Arabidopsis thaliana: one gene and its partners. The protein of the gene in region 3 purifies or fractionates together with the protein of the main gene of each other region. This does not show direct contact. Each region holds a gene or a part of one and is shown on either strand. Other genes may lie near its edges. The genes, in order: ATS9, RPT5A and FUS9.

What was found.
Region 1: the proteins of FUS9 (region 3) and ATS9 purify together in Arabidopsis thaliana (affinity purification with western blotting, with the first as the bait; one study listed by BioGRID). This does not show direct contact.
Region 2: the proteins of FUS9 (region 3) and RPT5A purify together in Arabidopsis thaliana (affinity purification with western blotting, with the first as the bait; one study listed by BioGRID). This does not show direct contact.

What each region holds. Positions count from the first base shown.
Region 1 is NC_003070.9:10,178,509-10,183,308, reverse strand, and holds ATS9 (non-ATPase subunit 9), read right to left. Parts: upstream 3,008-4,800; 5' UTR 2,712-3,007; intron 2,711-2,711; exon of another isoform or gene 2,438-2,710; intron 2,096-2,437; 5' UTR 2,070-2,095; coding exon 810-2,069; 3' UTR 521-809; downstream 1-520. Other genes in the region: AT1G29140 (Pollen Ole e 1 allergen and extensin family protein), read right to left, coding at 3,498-3,844, 4,112-4,280. UniProt on the Arabidopsis thaliana protein: Component of the lid subcomplex of the 26S proteasome, a multiprotein complex involved in the ATP-dependent degradation of ubiquitinated proteins. In the complex, RPN6A is required for proteasome assembly.
Region 2 is NC_003074.8:1,601,677-1,606,842, forward strand, and holds RPT5A (regulatory particle triple-A ATPase 5A), read left to right. Parts: upstream 1-1,682; 5' UTR 1,683-1,863; coding exon 1,864-1,983; intron 1,984-2,333; coding exon 2,334-2,450; intron 2,451-2,551; coding exon 2,552-2,659; intron 2,660-2,764; coding exon 2,765-2,956; intron 2,957-3,035; coding exon 3,036-3,227; intron 3,228-3,405; coding exon 3,406-3,524; intron 3,525-3,611; coding exon 3,612-3,699; intron 3,700-3,793; coding exon 3,794-3,913; intron 3,914-3,999; coding exon 4,000-4,140; intron 4,141-4,239; coding exon 4,240-4,317; 3' UTR 4,318-4,567; downstream 4,568-5,166. Other genes in the region: AT3G05540 (Methionine sulfoxide reductase (MSS4-like) family protein), read right to left, coding at 4,811-4,931, 5,022-5,166. UniProt on the Arabidopsis thaliana protein: The 26S proteasome is involved in the ATP-dependent degradation of ubiquitinated proteins. The regulatory (or ATPase) complex confers ATP dependency and substrate specificity to the 26S complex.
Region 3 is NC_003074.8:4,422,730-4,426,660, reverse strand, and holds FUS9 (Ubiquitin-conjugating enzyme family protein), read left to right. Parts: upstream 1-1,766; 5' UTR 1,767-1,863; coding exon 1,864-2,092; intron 2,093-2,192; coding exon 2,193-2,266; intron 2,267-2,623; coding exon 2,624-2,771; coding exon of another isoform or gene 2,772-2,833; exon of another isoform or gene 2,834-2,994; coding exon 2,995-3,092; 3' UTR 3,093-3,424; downstream 3,425-3,931. Other genes in the region: AT3G13560 (O-Glycosyl hydrolases family 17 protein), read left to right, coding at 1-788, 893-920, 1,006-1,177. UniProt on the Arabidopsis thaliana protein: Component of light signal transduction machinery. Involved in repression of photomorphogenesis in darkness by participating in the CDD complex, a complex probably required to regulate the activity of ubiquitin conjugating enzymes (E2s).

The DNA of each region.
Region 1 (4,800 bases), on a different chromosome or scaffold from region 3:
TTTTCACTTTTCAGCTATAAACTGACAATCACACAATAATGGGATACCTACATAACTAGAATAAGGTTTTTACTGTTTATGAAGAAGAAATTGAACAAATATTGGAACACTCTAAATGTTTGTCCTTCCAATAAAAGACCAGTAAACCACTAATGATAAATAACCTTTTCAAACAGCCAAAAAAATGTCTTAAATCTTAACGAAATATTATGATTTGTGAAAATATATGCCTTATCAACATTTTTGTGGATGACTGTAGTATGTCACATTTTAGTGTTAACATTTAAAATAAACGTTTTAACAGAATTTGTTTACTTCATCAATAATCACGAAGCTAACTAGAAAAGCTACTGTGATGAAGCAGCACATAAAAGAATATGACAGAAGAAGAGAACAAAATCAAGACTTGCTTGTGTGCAAGTCATGTCCTGAGTTGAGAAAAGAAATGGTGGGTCCTGTGAATTGAGTTCTGGGTTGGTCAGAATTTATAAATGCGGAGATAGAAAAATCAATGAGATTTGGATGAGGTAAAGATTAAAGGTTTTGGAAAAAGAGAACACAATGTTGACTTGCGAGGCTAAGAAAAAGAAACTGCAACAACCAGATGAAAACAAACTACATTTTAAGCACTAATAAAAGGTAAGAAACCATGACATAATAAGATCATAAGCAAAACGAGTAATGTGAACAATTCAGACAAGTTTACTTTCTCCATTGAGAAACATCAGTTTCTTTGAGTCCAAACGATATCTAAAACCAGAAAGAAAGAACGATAGAATGAGATTCATACGACCAACTCACTCACTCTCTCAGGACATGATTTTGGCAGACCGGACATAAAGGCTGTCGACGACCTTCCCCATGTTTGCAATGGTTTCGAGGGTAGCCGAGTAGATAGCATCTGCCTTTGGGTCTTCGAAGATGATGAGGCATCCAGCTCCTTGATCCAAGGTACCTGCAAATTTCTTGTCGAGTATCATCTGAGATAGCTTCTTTTCCACATGGTCGAGCGGCAATCCAATGAGCTCAGCAATGTGAGCTATCTCAACTCTTGAGAAGGGCTCGATCAAACGACACAGATTTTGCTCCAGAAGCGTGTCATAGAGAGAAGAGAGATGCCTGTGGACAATTGGGTCATCTTCAAGCTGTGCTTTGTAGTCACGGAGTGCGTTCTCAAACAACTTCAAGGACCTCTTCGAGTGAGCATCAGCGACTGCTTTCATGGCATCCAGGTCAGGGCCAACGTACTGTAGTCCAGCCTTTGAGGAGATTATTCCTGCAACATCATCAGCTTGGCTAACCATGATCTTGCACAGTAACATGTACTTCAAACTGAAAACCGCTCTCGGATCTCCGAGAGCGTTGAAGGACTCAAAGGCTTCAAAGAAGTAACTGTATCCGGTTTTGTAGTCTTTCTCTTCAGCATGAAGAATCCCACTCTGCAGATCTATCGTGCCTTGTTGAGCTGGTGGGACATATATAGCGTTAGCAGCTGTCCTAGCTGCAGTGAGTGCAGCTTTTGCCTTGGGTAAGTTTCTCAATGAGAAGTGAAGTTTGCTCTCCAGCAAGTCTATGTCGACCAGAAGGAGCTTATCATCTAATCTCCTAACCTCTTTTACCAAAGTACTCAACAACGCCAAAGCTTCAACATACTCCTTGTTCTCCATCAAAAGAGCTGCAAGCCTAGCCTCTACTCGCTGCCTGAGGAAAGTACGCTTCTCAGCGCGGGTCCATTCGACCATCTCTTTGCAGAGAGTGATCTGGAGATCAGTTGTTCCAGGAATCTTTGCCACAGCATCAATGATTCCTCTGACGATTTTCGCAGTTTTCGCCTTGGGGATTAAGGAAAAGAAAGGCCTCAACTTGGTCAACAGTTTCCGGAGATCCTCACCTCTCTTCTCTTCAGTCAATCGATCACAAAGGTTTGTAATCGCTTGCTCCTTGATCCGTATAGCCTCAGGAGATGAAGAAGGGTCTTCCAAAACCTGGTACAGTATCGTAATAGCCTCCGAGCTGTTGGCTTCTAAAGCCAGGGAAATCGTCTCTGTGGTAGCACGATAGGAAACCATTGTGGGTTTAGTGCAAACTCAAATCCCTGCAACAATAAAGCCATAGACCTGTTAATGCAATGTTCAAATATTTCTCCTTTCAAGCTTATTGATACTCTTTAGGTTTCACATCACTACAAAAACAAATCCATCTTCGATACATTACCAAGATAATCAGATAAAGACAAGCCACGATGGTAATTTATCACTGTAATTTATCAACTCTTCTGTACCTAATGATCAAGACAAGCCTAGAGATCTATCAAAGACAAAGATACAACGAGGCTACAATAAGTAATACAGGAACTGAATTACAAAGCCTATGAAACTATAACCTAATTTTTAAGTAATAAGATGAATCACAGAGACATAGTTCAGTAATTACTAACTTATTCAGTTCGAATTCTTCGACTCAAATACTTTTAAGATCTATTTAATTTTGTATTCAGCTTCTTTCAATCAGAATTAGAACATCCTCGGGCCCATCTTCACTGAGATCAACTAAATCGAAGAAAGCTAAACCCTAGAACTATCGAGACAAGGAACCAGATGTGGTTTTTTAAAACATCGAAAACAATACGCATACCAAAACCCAGAATTAAGCAGATCTGATAAGCAAACCCAGAAGAAGAATTAATGAAATTTCGCAAGAACAAGACTTACCGATGAATCGTCGGGGGCGTGAGATTTTGGTAAAGCTTTTCGACGACGGTATAGAAGAAATAAGAAGAAGAAGATTCGAGAGTTTTTTTTGGCTTGAAAGAAAAGATAAATGGACAGTCTTCTCGTAGTTTTACAATTTTTTGAAGGGTATATTTGTCTTTAGATGCTGAAATCAGGAAATAGAGAACGCTTAACAAATTCGGCGTCTTAAAATCTAGCGTTTCGGATTCAGAGTTTGAAAACCAACGCCAGACGCTGCAAAAGATCCTGGTGCAAACGCTTGTCGTGAAAACGCGTTTTGTGATTCAGGCCTAGTGGCTCAGACTAAAGGCCCAATATATACAAAACTCTGATCCGCCTTCTTTAGGTAAGGGTTCGATTTTATTTGTTGTCTTTTGCTTATTTCAGTTTGAGTCATTTACCTCAAACTATAATTCACATTATATGTTACATATGTAGCTTTCTCAAACTGTCATAAATTTCACTATGCATGTAAATGATTTAAATTTATTTTAGAGTAGGGTTTTTCACTACATCATGCATGTATCTGTTCAATCGAAAAGTAACAAATAAATATTGGAAGGTAATCAAATCATTCGTAAAAAAGAACTCCCAAAAATAAAACAATAACAACGAAAAAAAAACATGGTTAATTAGTAAACTCAGACAGACACATAAAAAACATAAATAAATGTTTTATATATTAAAAAGAGTCATCAAAAAAATTGAAAGTGTTGAGACTTTGAGAGATCGATGTATATGGGTGTGTATATATGTATATTAAGCTTAGAAGGTGACGTCAGGGACGATTCCAAGCTCCTTGAAAACTTGAGGGCATTCAGCGAGAGGAGTCTTCCTCATGAACCCAAGTGGGTTAATGGTTCGAGTCTCGTTGGAGACAATGCCATCATTGGCCGTGAGACTGATTCTGGCTGCGTTTCTTAGGAATTCTTGGTTGTTCACGTCTCCACACTCTGGGTCAGGTGATTGGAGGAGGACGATCTCGCACACTTCCTCTTCGTGGTCACCCATTACTTCCATCTGGTAGTTACCGGCGTTGTCGGTCACGGCTTCTTTGGTTAGGGTCACTGTCTGGTTCTCACGACCCTTGCACTCAAGCTTTACCTTTGCCCCTGATATACACACAATAACGTAATTAGTTTTTCTTATAATCTTGCAACACTAACTCTTAGAAATGTGACTAACCACATTTTTATAAAATTTTAACATTGTTAAAAAGACGTCTATATATGCTTGTAATCATTTTTGTGAATTTTTACTACACAATTCTAACCATTGACCTATATACCATAATGGGATCGATTTTTTATCAACCAATATATTTTGCTATTGACAGTATGCTCAACAAATGAATTTGATTAGAGAATGTGGTTAATTACCCTCGAGAAATTTGCTGATACGGGTGATGAATTGGACACGGCATGTGTCGCAGTAGACGGAGCCCTTGATGTGGAATTTGTCAAAGTCGTCGGCATCAGCTGCGGTGAAGTGAACGAGGGTGGTGAAACATAGGGCAGAGGCAAGGAAGACAATGAAGAATTTGGCCATTATGCCTTAATCCTTTTTTTTCTTGTGTTTTTACTTCGGTCTTCTCCTCTCTTGGATTTGAGAGTTTATTTGTAAAATTTAGTTTTTAAGGGAGAACAAATTGTAAGCTTTGGTTGAGAGGAGACGCTATGATAGATCCAACCAAATATCTCCTTTTATAGAGAACAAATAGACAAAACAACAAAACCATGTGATTCTATATCTATTTTTGGAAGTTTTTTTGTTTATTTTTGGTGTTTTTGTTCTTGAGTTTTGTACGGCTGTGTTTTCCTTGAACCCGATCTTTTCTCATTGCCATCTGTTTTTCTTTTCTGTTAATAATTCTTCATAGATTCCGTTTAGGTCTTTTTTGTATGAGGATGGTTTCCCAAATGTCAATCTATAGAATCTTATGTATGTTTAGACCTCCACTAAAAAGATTCAATGGGGGTGGAGAATTATCTACTAGACCCCAAAGTGAAAGTTTTATTAGTAGTAAATGACTAATTAATCTGAGCCGCACATGAAAGCTTTTGCACAA
Region 2 (5,166 bases), 2.8 Mb from region 3:
ACCTCCATTAATTTTGTGTTCACCTCGGTTAGAAAGCTTTGTTTTAATTTGTTAAGACGATGCTGATATATCCTGAATCATGATTAAATTAAAATCCTTAAGTTAAAGTCATTACAAAAACCACTTTTGAATATTGATCAGATATTGGTCCCATGCCCAAAACGATGGTGCAAAATGTCTAAAGAGTGATAAGCTAGCAATTACTAGATATATACTAAAAGAAATAGTTTCAGTTCCAAGCATGAGCACTAGTCATAGTTGAGGCTCACAAATTTCTTGCAAATCATCTTCGAGTTTTCCACGTCCAGAGATGGTCTCCTTCCTCCTGATACACACACAAACAACTAAGTATCTTCCATCGTCTAAAAATAAACAAAAGCATACGTAATTACCCATTTCCTCCACCTTCTTATTTATAATCAAGTTGAACAATTTTCAAATCATCCAAGACACAATCATTTATTAAATATTGATATATGCAATGACAAAATATCCAAAAGTATTGACTTCAATGACATTCAATTTTTGCTATTTTTTTATTTTTTTGTACGAATAGTCTTCAGATCTTTTTCAGTTGATGTCAATCCAAACTTTAATCATGAGTCTATCACAATATTGTTGAAGTACATAAAACAAGGAATTGATTTATTTATAATCGAGTTAGGAAAATTTTAAACTACAAACATAACATAGTTACACAGAATTGTATCAAAATATCATTATTGTTGTTATATGTATTCATTTAGTGAAAAAATATTAAAATCTTATAAATAATTAGCTTTATAGACAAAATATATAAATTGATATTTCAAATCACAAATGAATCTAACCATAAAAATTATCACTACATATTATGGATCTAATTTTATTAATAATACAAAAATAAACAAATAATAAATATAAATTAGCATAAAGAACAATCAATGTAATTTTTTTTTAACAATTTTTAAAACAAACCCACGCGTAGCGTGGGTAGTCATCTAATACAAATATAATTTTACCTGATTTCATAATCGCATATTGCTGACTTTGGACGTCTTCAGTGATCACTTTCATCCTCCTGCTTTTTCGCCTCAGATCTAGCCGAATGATACTGCACAATAAATGTGATCCCTATGGGAATCACTACTCTTGAAATTGCATACATCCCGCCAACTCCCGTGAACGTCATCGTTTTGCTATATGAAGATGGCTCCACTATCACAACCAATGCTGACTTAGCTACAAAAAAAGCTTGTTTAATGCTACTACTTTTCTGTTGTTGATTATTGTTTTTTTTAGATTCCGAGGCATTACTTGTCATTTATGATTGAGTTTTGAGCATATATATGTTTACTTAACGCTCGAATATATGACAAGAATTTGTAAAGGTTTATGATGTTTTAATGAATTTTGGTTTTCTTTTAAATTTCGGATGAGAGACATAAATAAAACAGCATTTCTAATAAAGTTTGTTTTTTTGGAAGAAATCTTTCTGTTGCAGTTCTTGTGATTAAGGTTCTTGCAATTTCAAGAGTAGATTTAGACATTCATAATTGGAATGTAAATCTGAAAGCTATAGTCAGGGGGGTTTAAATTGTCTTATATTGAGTTAGTTCGAGAGAATGTGGAAGACTCTAACTCGTTCAGAGGTTTTCCCCTATGCATTTCTTTGAAGACAAGTTTTCCTAAGAAAACTCTTTTTTATTTTTAATAGCTAATATAATTTACTTTTTTCTTTTTGGTTATTTATTTTCTCTCGTCTTCTCTCCTTATTGGTTTTTTTTCTCTCATAGTCGCTCTCCCTCTCCTCTCCCTTTGAGAAATCCCTAACTCTTTGCTCTTCTCTTCCCGGCGATCTATCTCTCCGATTTGGGTATTGAAATGGCAACTCCTATGGTTGAAGATACGTCAAGCTTCGAAGAGGATCAGCTTGCTTCCATGTCCACCGAAGATATCACTAGAGCTACTCGTCTTCTCGACAACGAGATTCGAATTCTCAAGGTTTGCCCTATATCTCTCTCGATCTCCTTTGCCTTTATATCGTTCTCCATGATTGTATCTTCTTAAATTGGTTTCATCAATCGCTTTAATTCCAGTAAGGTCAGGCTCGAATCTGGTTTCGATTTTTCGCGATTACGGGTTTAGGGTTTGAGTTTCGTGTAATCCGTGGAAGCAGGAGATGAACTAGACCTTTAATTTTATGACCCTTCTTGTGATTTCTTCGTGTGTTTTCAAAGTTTGGATTTTTCAACTCAACTGAGATTGATTGAATTGAAAAGCTACGTCTTTCTTGTTGCAAATTGGATATGTTGAAATTGCTCATCTTGTGTTTTTCTTTGATGGGGATTTAGGAAGACGCGCAAAGAACAAATCTAGAATGTGATTCTTACAAGGAGAAGATTAAGGAGAATCAGGAGAAGATTAAACTCAACAAGCAGCTGCCTTACTTGGTTGGCAACATTGTCGAGGTATTCAACTAGTTTTCTTATCTTATTTTTGGTATTTTCCTACAGAGTCTTACCTATTTGATTTGAATTCTAACTGTTGTGTTACCATATCATGCTATTAGATTTTGGAGATGAATCCAGAAGATGATGCTGAGGAAGATGGTGCAAATATTGATCTTGACTCGCAACGGAAAGGAAAATGTGTTGTGTTGAAAACGTCTACACGGCAGGTGAGACTTCCAAACCCATTCTTTAGATATGTTTTCTACATCTTCTCTTCCGTTTCCCGTTTCATGTCTGAGCAAATACTTTTGTTTTCGTTATGTGGACTGCAGACCATCTTTCTACCAGTTGTTGGACTCGTGGATCCTGATAGTTTGAAACCTGGTGACTTGGTTGGAGTTAACAAAGATAGCTACTTGATTTTGGATACCTTGCCATCCGAGTATGACTCTAGGGTTAAAGCCATGGAGGTCGATGAAAAACCAACTGAAGATTACAATGACATTGGAGGACTAGAGAAGCAGGTATGTTTATACCATTGTGTTAATCTGCTGTATTGACTTTGCTTCGTAGTGAAACTAATTGAGTTTATTTCTGGAACAGATCCAAGAGCTTGTAGAGGCAATTGTGCTTCCCATGACGCACAAGGAACGTTTTGAGAAGCTGGGTGTTCGTCCACCAAAGGGAGTGCTCTTGTATGGTCCCCCAGGGACTGGTAAAACTTTAATGGCTCGTGCCTGCGCAGCACAGACCAATGCCACCTTCCTTAAATTGGCAGGCCCTCAATTGGTCCAGGTATATATATATATATATATATATATATATATGAGTATCAGATTCAATTCTCATCTCTTAGAACTCTTTACCCTGTCTGGATATAAGATTTTAGTGTTCTGGCAACAATAATTACATGTGACGAGCTATAATGATACTTGATTGTAATGACATGATGACATATCCAATTTATATACAGATGTTCATTGGAGACGGAGCAAAGCTTGTCCGTGATGCCTTTCAACTTGCCAAAGAGAAAGCTCCGTGCATTATCTTCATAGATGAAATCGATGCCATTGGTACAAAGCGTTTCGACAGGTACAAATCTTTTTCTGATTCCAATTCATGTATTTCTGCACTTTCTCAGCTATTTGCTCAAATCACATTCTTTGGTTGAGAGTACAGTGAAGTCAGCGGAGACAGGGAAGTGCAGAGGACTATGTTGGAGTTGCTCAATCAACTTGACGGATTCAGTAGCGATGAACGTATTAAGGTGAGTGTCTTTATCCATTCTAAGGACTAATCATACTGGTCTTAAAAATCGTTCTCAAAGAAACAGTAACAACCATACCTTTCTATTTTTTCAGGTGATTGCAGCTACTAACCGTGCAGATATTCTGGACCCAGCACTCATGCGTTCTGGTCGATTAGACAGAAAGATTGAGTTCCCACACCCAACCGAAGAAGCGAGAGCAAGAATCTTGCAGGTTTGTCTCTCCCATTTTTCAAACATGACCCTTGGTGATAAGTAAAAGGCTCTCATAACACAACTAACCCAACTGAATGAATCCAGATTCACTCAAGGAAGATGAATGTCCACCCAGACGTCAACTTTGAGGAGCTTGCACGATCAACAGATGATTTCAATGGAGCTCAGCTGAAAGCAGTGTGTGTAGAGGCAGGCATGTTAGCTCTTCGCCGTGATGCCACAGAGGTAAAAAAGACAGAACTCTTAATGATTTGAGCTTTATGATTGTGTAGTTTGGTCTGTTTTTTAAGGTGGGGTTCTCTGTTGTTGTGTTTGTGTGTTCAGGTGAACCATGAAGACTTCAATGAAGGTATCATCCAAGTCCAGGCCAAGAAGAAAGCAAGCTTGAACTACTACGCCTGATCTCTCTCTCTCATCATTTATTTTTATCAATGCCGTTTATCTTTCAACTAGTTTTACTTGTACCCTCATTCCGATTTGGATCTTTTTAAGTTTTCGAATCAGGATCATCTATTATATCAAAATACATTTAATTGTGTTCATCTTCTTCTGAAAACAAGTTTGGAAATTTAGAAATCTTAGTATCTCTATAGTATTGGTTCATGGTATATAGACCTATTCTAAAATTATGTTTTCTTTCAGAAATTTTTAAGAGAATTCACTTATCAATCTCTAATATTTTGTATATATCATAGTATTTTGAACGTATATCAAGTGAATTTTTAAAACTAATCAGGCCTTTTTCGTTGCACTAATCCTTTCAAGCTCTCAATTTAAGGAAATTGCATAAAAGTTAACTTCACTTGAAATAGAAAAATCTCTCAAGATTAACCAAAAGTACTAACAAAAAGTAAAACTCCAAAATAAAAAAATAAAATCTGTAGCTTTGAAGTATTCAGCACTTGATCTCTTTCAAGCCGTAGGCCAAGTAGAGAAAAGTAGGATCAGTGGCTCCTTCTCTGTAGTAAGCAAACACTAAGCTCCCTTCTTCTCCTTCCATGCTCTCTCCCACGAAGCTGTCACATTCGTTGAAAATAATTCACCAATTAGACAAAATTAACTTCAAAAAAAAAATAGAAGAAAGAAGATAAAAGAGAAGAGCTTACAATTGGAAGTCTTTGAGCTTTGACATCAAGAATTTGGTGGCACTCTCAATGTGTTTCTTGAACAGCTCTTGGTTTTCTGAGTCCAACTTAGGGCTTAGTTGCTTGATGTATCTTTTCATAAACATCACAAATTGTTTCTTGTCAA
Region 3 (3,931 bases):
GAACACCACGGTTTACCAGCTTCTTCAGTTTTTGAAGAACACTGGTTCCTTTTTCATGTTAAACGCGTATCCTTACTACGGTTACACAACCGCTAATGGGATTTTCCCGCTTGATTACGCTTTGTTCAAGCAGCTTTCTCCGGTGAAGCAGATTGTTGATCCCAACACGCTTTTACATTACAACAGCATGTTTGATGCTATGGTTGATGCTGCTTACTACTCCATGGAAGCTTTGAATTTCTCCAAGATTCCTGTTGTAGTCACGGAAACAGGCTGGCCTTCGTCTGGTGGAAGCGATGAAGCGGCTGCAACAGTCGCTAATGCGGAGACATTCAACACTAACTTGATCAAGAGAGTGCTGAACAACTCAGGTCCTCCTAGTCAACCAGACATACCGATAAACACTTACATCTACGAGCTGTACAATGAAGACAAGCGGTCAGGACCAGTCTCTGAAAGAAACTGGGGGATTTTGTTTCCAAATGGGACCTCGGTTTACCCTCTGAGTTTGAGTGGTGGCTCTAGCTCCGCAGCTCTAAACGGTTCATCGATGTTCTGCGTGGCTAAAGCAGATGCTGATGATGATAAGTTGGTTGACGGTTTGAATTGGGCGTGTGGTCAAGGCCGAGCTAACTGCGCTGCCATTCAACCGGGCCAACCTTGCTACCTCCCTAACGATGTTAAGAGCCATGCTTCTTTTGCTTTCAATGACTATTACCAGAAGATGAAAAGTGCAGGTGGAACTTGTGACTTTGATGGTACGGCTATCACTACGACTAGAGATCCTAGTAAGTTTTTCTCATTTCCTCTGATCTATGTGTTGCAATAATTCTATGTTTTCAAGTTGTTTCCTCAGAGTAAATCTCAAATTCGATGGCTTGTGTGTTTGCAGGCTATAGAACATGTGCATATACGGGAAGGTAACGATACTAAATTTATGTCTTGTTAAGTTTTGAAAATGAAATCTGCTCCTAACTCTTTGAAATCATTTTCCATTTATCTCAGCTTAAACGCAAACGCTACTAATGGAAACTTTCCTCCGGATGCGTTAGGACCCGCAAGTCCATTGGGAGGAAACGCAAACGCACGTATCATCTTTAGCTACCATCTTCCCATATTGGCACCGTTAGCTCTCACTCTACTACAACTGTTGCTTCAGCATGACCGCCTTTTGTAGAACGTTTGCCAAAAAGCGGTTTTGTAGTAACCGGGGAAGTCTACCTGTGGCTTGGATTGGATTTCTTACGGTTACCGGTAGTTACTGTGTACTTTGTTTTTAGTGTAAGTGTAACTAGAGACTAAAGAGGGCTCACAAGTTCCCATTCTTTTTTTTGTCTTCATCTTTGAACTAAAATATTCGAATTAGAGTGATTTAAATTTCATATTCAAATGAATCAGTGCATTGTAGGAGAGTTTACGTAAATCATGTTATTCATAAAAATTGACAGAGTAAATTTGATTATGTTTAAACAAAAATTAAATTGATTTTGGATAATTTCAATTTTCTTTCCAAAATGTGTGCCTTTTTCAAGAACTTTGAATAATCATTTATCAAATTATTAAGGATTCACGTGGTTATAACATGATCACATTACACAAAAGGACAAGAATATTCGATAATTCAACTTAAATAAATTTGGTTGTCAAAATGATTACAAATTTATTGATAGTGATTAGTGAGAGAAAATAAAAATAAAAAATACATGTTACAAAATTAATCTCCACGTCAGCGATTACTTTATTTGTTTAATTGATCGGACAAAAACGCGGCGTTTCGAAATCTTTTCCCGATGGAGTGCGAGCGAAACGATCAAGTGGTGGATTGGATAAGCAGAGAGTATCGGAAGACGACGACGACGGGAGATGATGACACCTGGCGGAAGCGGGAGGTTGAGACCGTTACCGACGGCGATGTACGCCGGATATTCAGGAACGGCGTCGTCTTGGGTAGCGAAGACTTCAGTTTCTGCGTCAGGGAAGAGGATACAGAGGGAGATGGCTGAGCTTAACATTGATCCACCTCCTGATTGCTCAGCTGGTCCAAAAGGAGATAATCTCTACCATTGGATCGCCACCATCATTGGTCCTTCGGGTTTAATTCTGATACTCTCTTTGAATATTTGTAGATAATCCGATTGAAAATTTGTTAGGTTTTCAAGTCTTTGAATTTGGTGTTTATGGAACTTTTGCAGGAACTCCCTATGAAGGAGGGATCTTTTTCCTGGATATAATTTTCCCATCTGATTATCCATTCAAGCCACCTAAGGTATGATCATGGATTCTTTGGTTAACACATTTTGGGAGCTTTACTGATTTAGCTGGTAATGATTTAAGGTTTAGAAGTTTTGATTTCTAATGATGATCTCTTTAGGAAGAACTATTTAGTGAATATCAATGAGTCTTCAACTGCATCACATTGAAACAGAGATCATCTAGTGTCTCAGACTCTCAGTGTCTAGCATATTATGTAGTTTTATTGCTTTCAACATAGTCTTAGGATACATTTTGTAGCAAATTTCTTGAAGTTTTGGGTCTAGTGATAGTCAAGCTATAGGTACTAATCTAGAGCTTGCACTTTTATTACATCTGTCTTTTTGGTTAAGTTGGTGAGGTTGATTTGCAGTTGGTGTTCAAGACTCGGATTTACCATTGCAATGTTGATACTGCGGGAGATTTAAGTGTGAACATTCTAAGAGATAGTTGGAGTCCAGCCCTTACAATCACTAAAGTCTTACAAGCCATCAGATCTATCTTCTTAAAACCTGAACCCTGTAAGTTTCTATTCTACTCTCAGGCTTCAGATCAGACCATTTCAAGTCCTCTGATGAAATGACCAGCTCATGTCAGATCTACCTAAGAGAACGTTTTTAAAAAAAAGTTTGTGATGAGTTTTGGCCAACAAACATAATAGATGTCCGCATCTAACTACTGTATTTAACTTCCATAGTAAATCTCTATTGTTCTTATTCTTTTTGCTTCTTCTTCATCGACCAGATAGTCCAGCTTTACCGGTGATTGCACGGCTCTACTTGACAGATAGAGAAAAGCATGACGAGGTAGCCAAAGAATGGACATTGCGATTTGCCAAGTGAGATCTTCAATACGAGGAAAAGACAACTGATGTATTATAAATACACCTAGTTCTTTGGTTAGTTAATGGTCATCAATGTACATTCATAAAAGTGGAACCACAATGTTAGATGGCCAAGAAAATTGTTTGCTCAGATAATAGGCAACAATGTGAGGTAGGACCAATCCTCAACAACTCCAATTTATTGAAGGTTATACAATTTAGTGTCAAATCTTTTCGTCAAGGACTCGAAAACCAAAGATCATATATGGTCTGAATATAACTGAGGAATTGTTTCTTTTATAAGAAAACAAGAGCATTTTGTTTTGAAACAAGAATAGTAGGCCATAACTTCTAGAGAAAAGCGATTACAGATGAGATAATTAAACTGAAGAGTATTAGTTGGTACCTAACATGTTCCATAATCTTTATTGATTGATTATCTCCAAAAAGAAAGATCAAACTTTCTATTGAAGACACAAGTGAGACTTGAGAGACCAAATCTACCGGTCAATTCTTTTCGTTCTTTTAACCTAACTCTGTTTAACATAATTATCACAAATGGTCAGTACATATCTATCTACGCATGGTATATATAGAGAATATGTAGAACAGCAGTGTTAAAAAAGAGTAACATATTTTGAGTCTCTGCGACTAATATCTTCATATCGGTACGTTGTAATATTTATCCGTTAATTATACGTGTGTTAGATGTGTTAGTGTATATGCAGATGAATATGTCATTTTATGCATCACATGTATATACTCAATTTGTTTATCTTATTTTTTTATTTAATGTTCCCCTTCGTTGGCATCATATATATTTCTCTTGAAGTTTTGAGTAAAACCTCTAGAGATGTT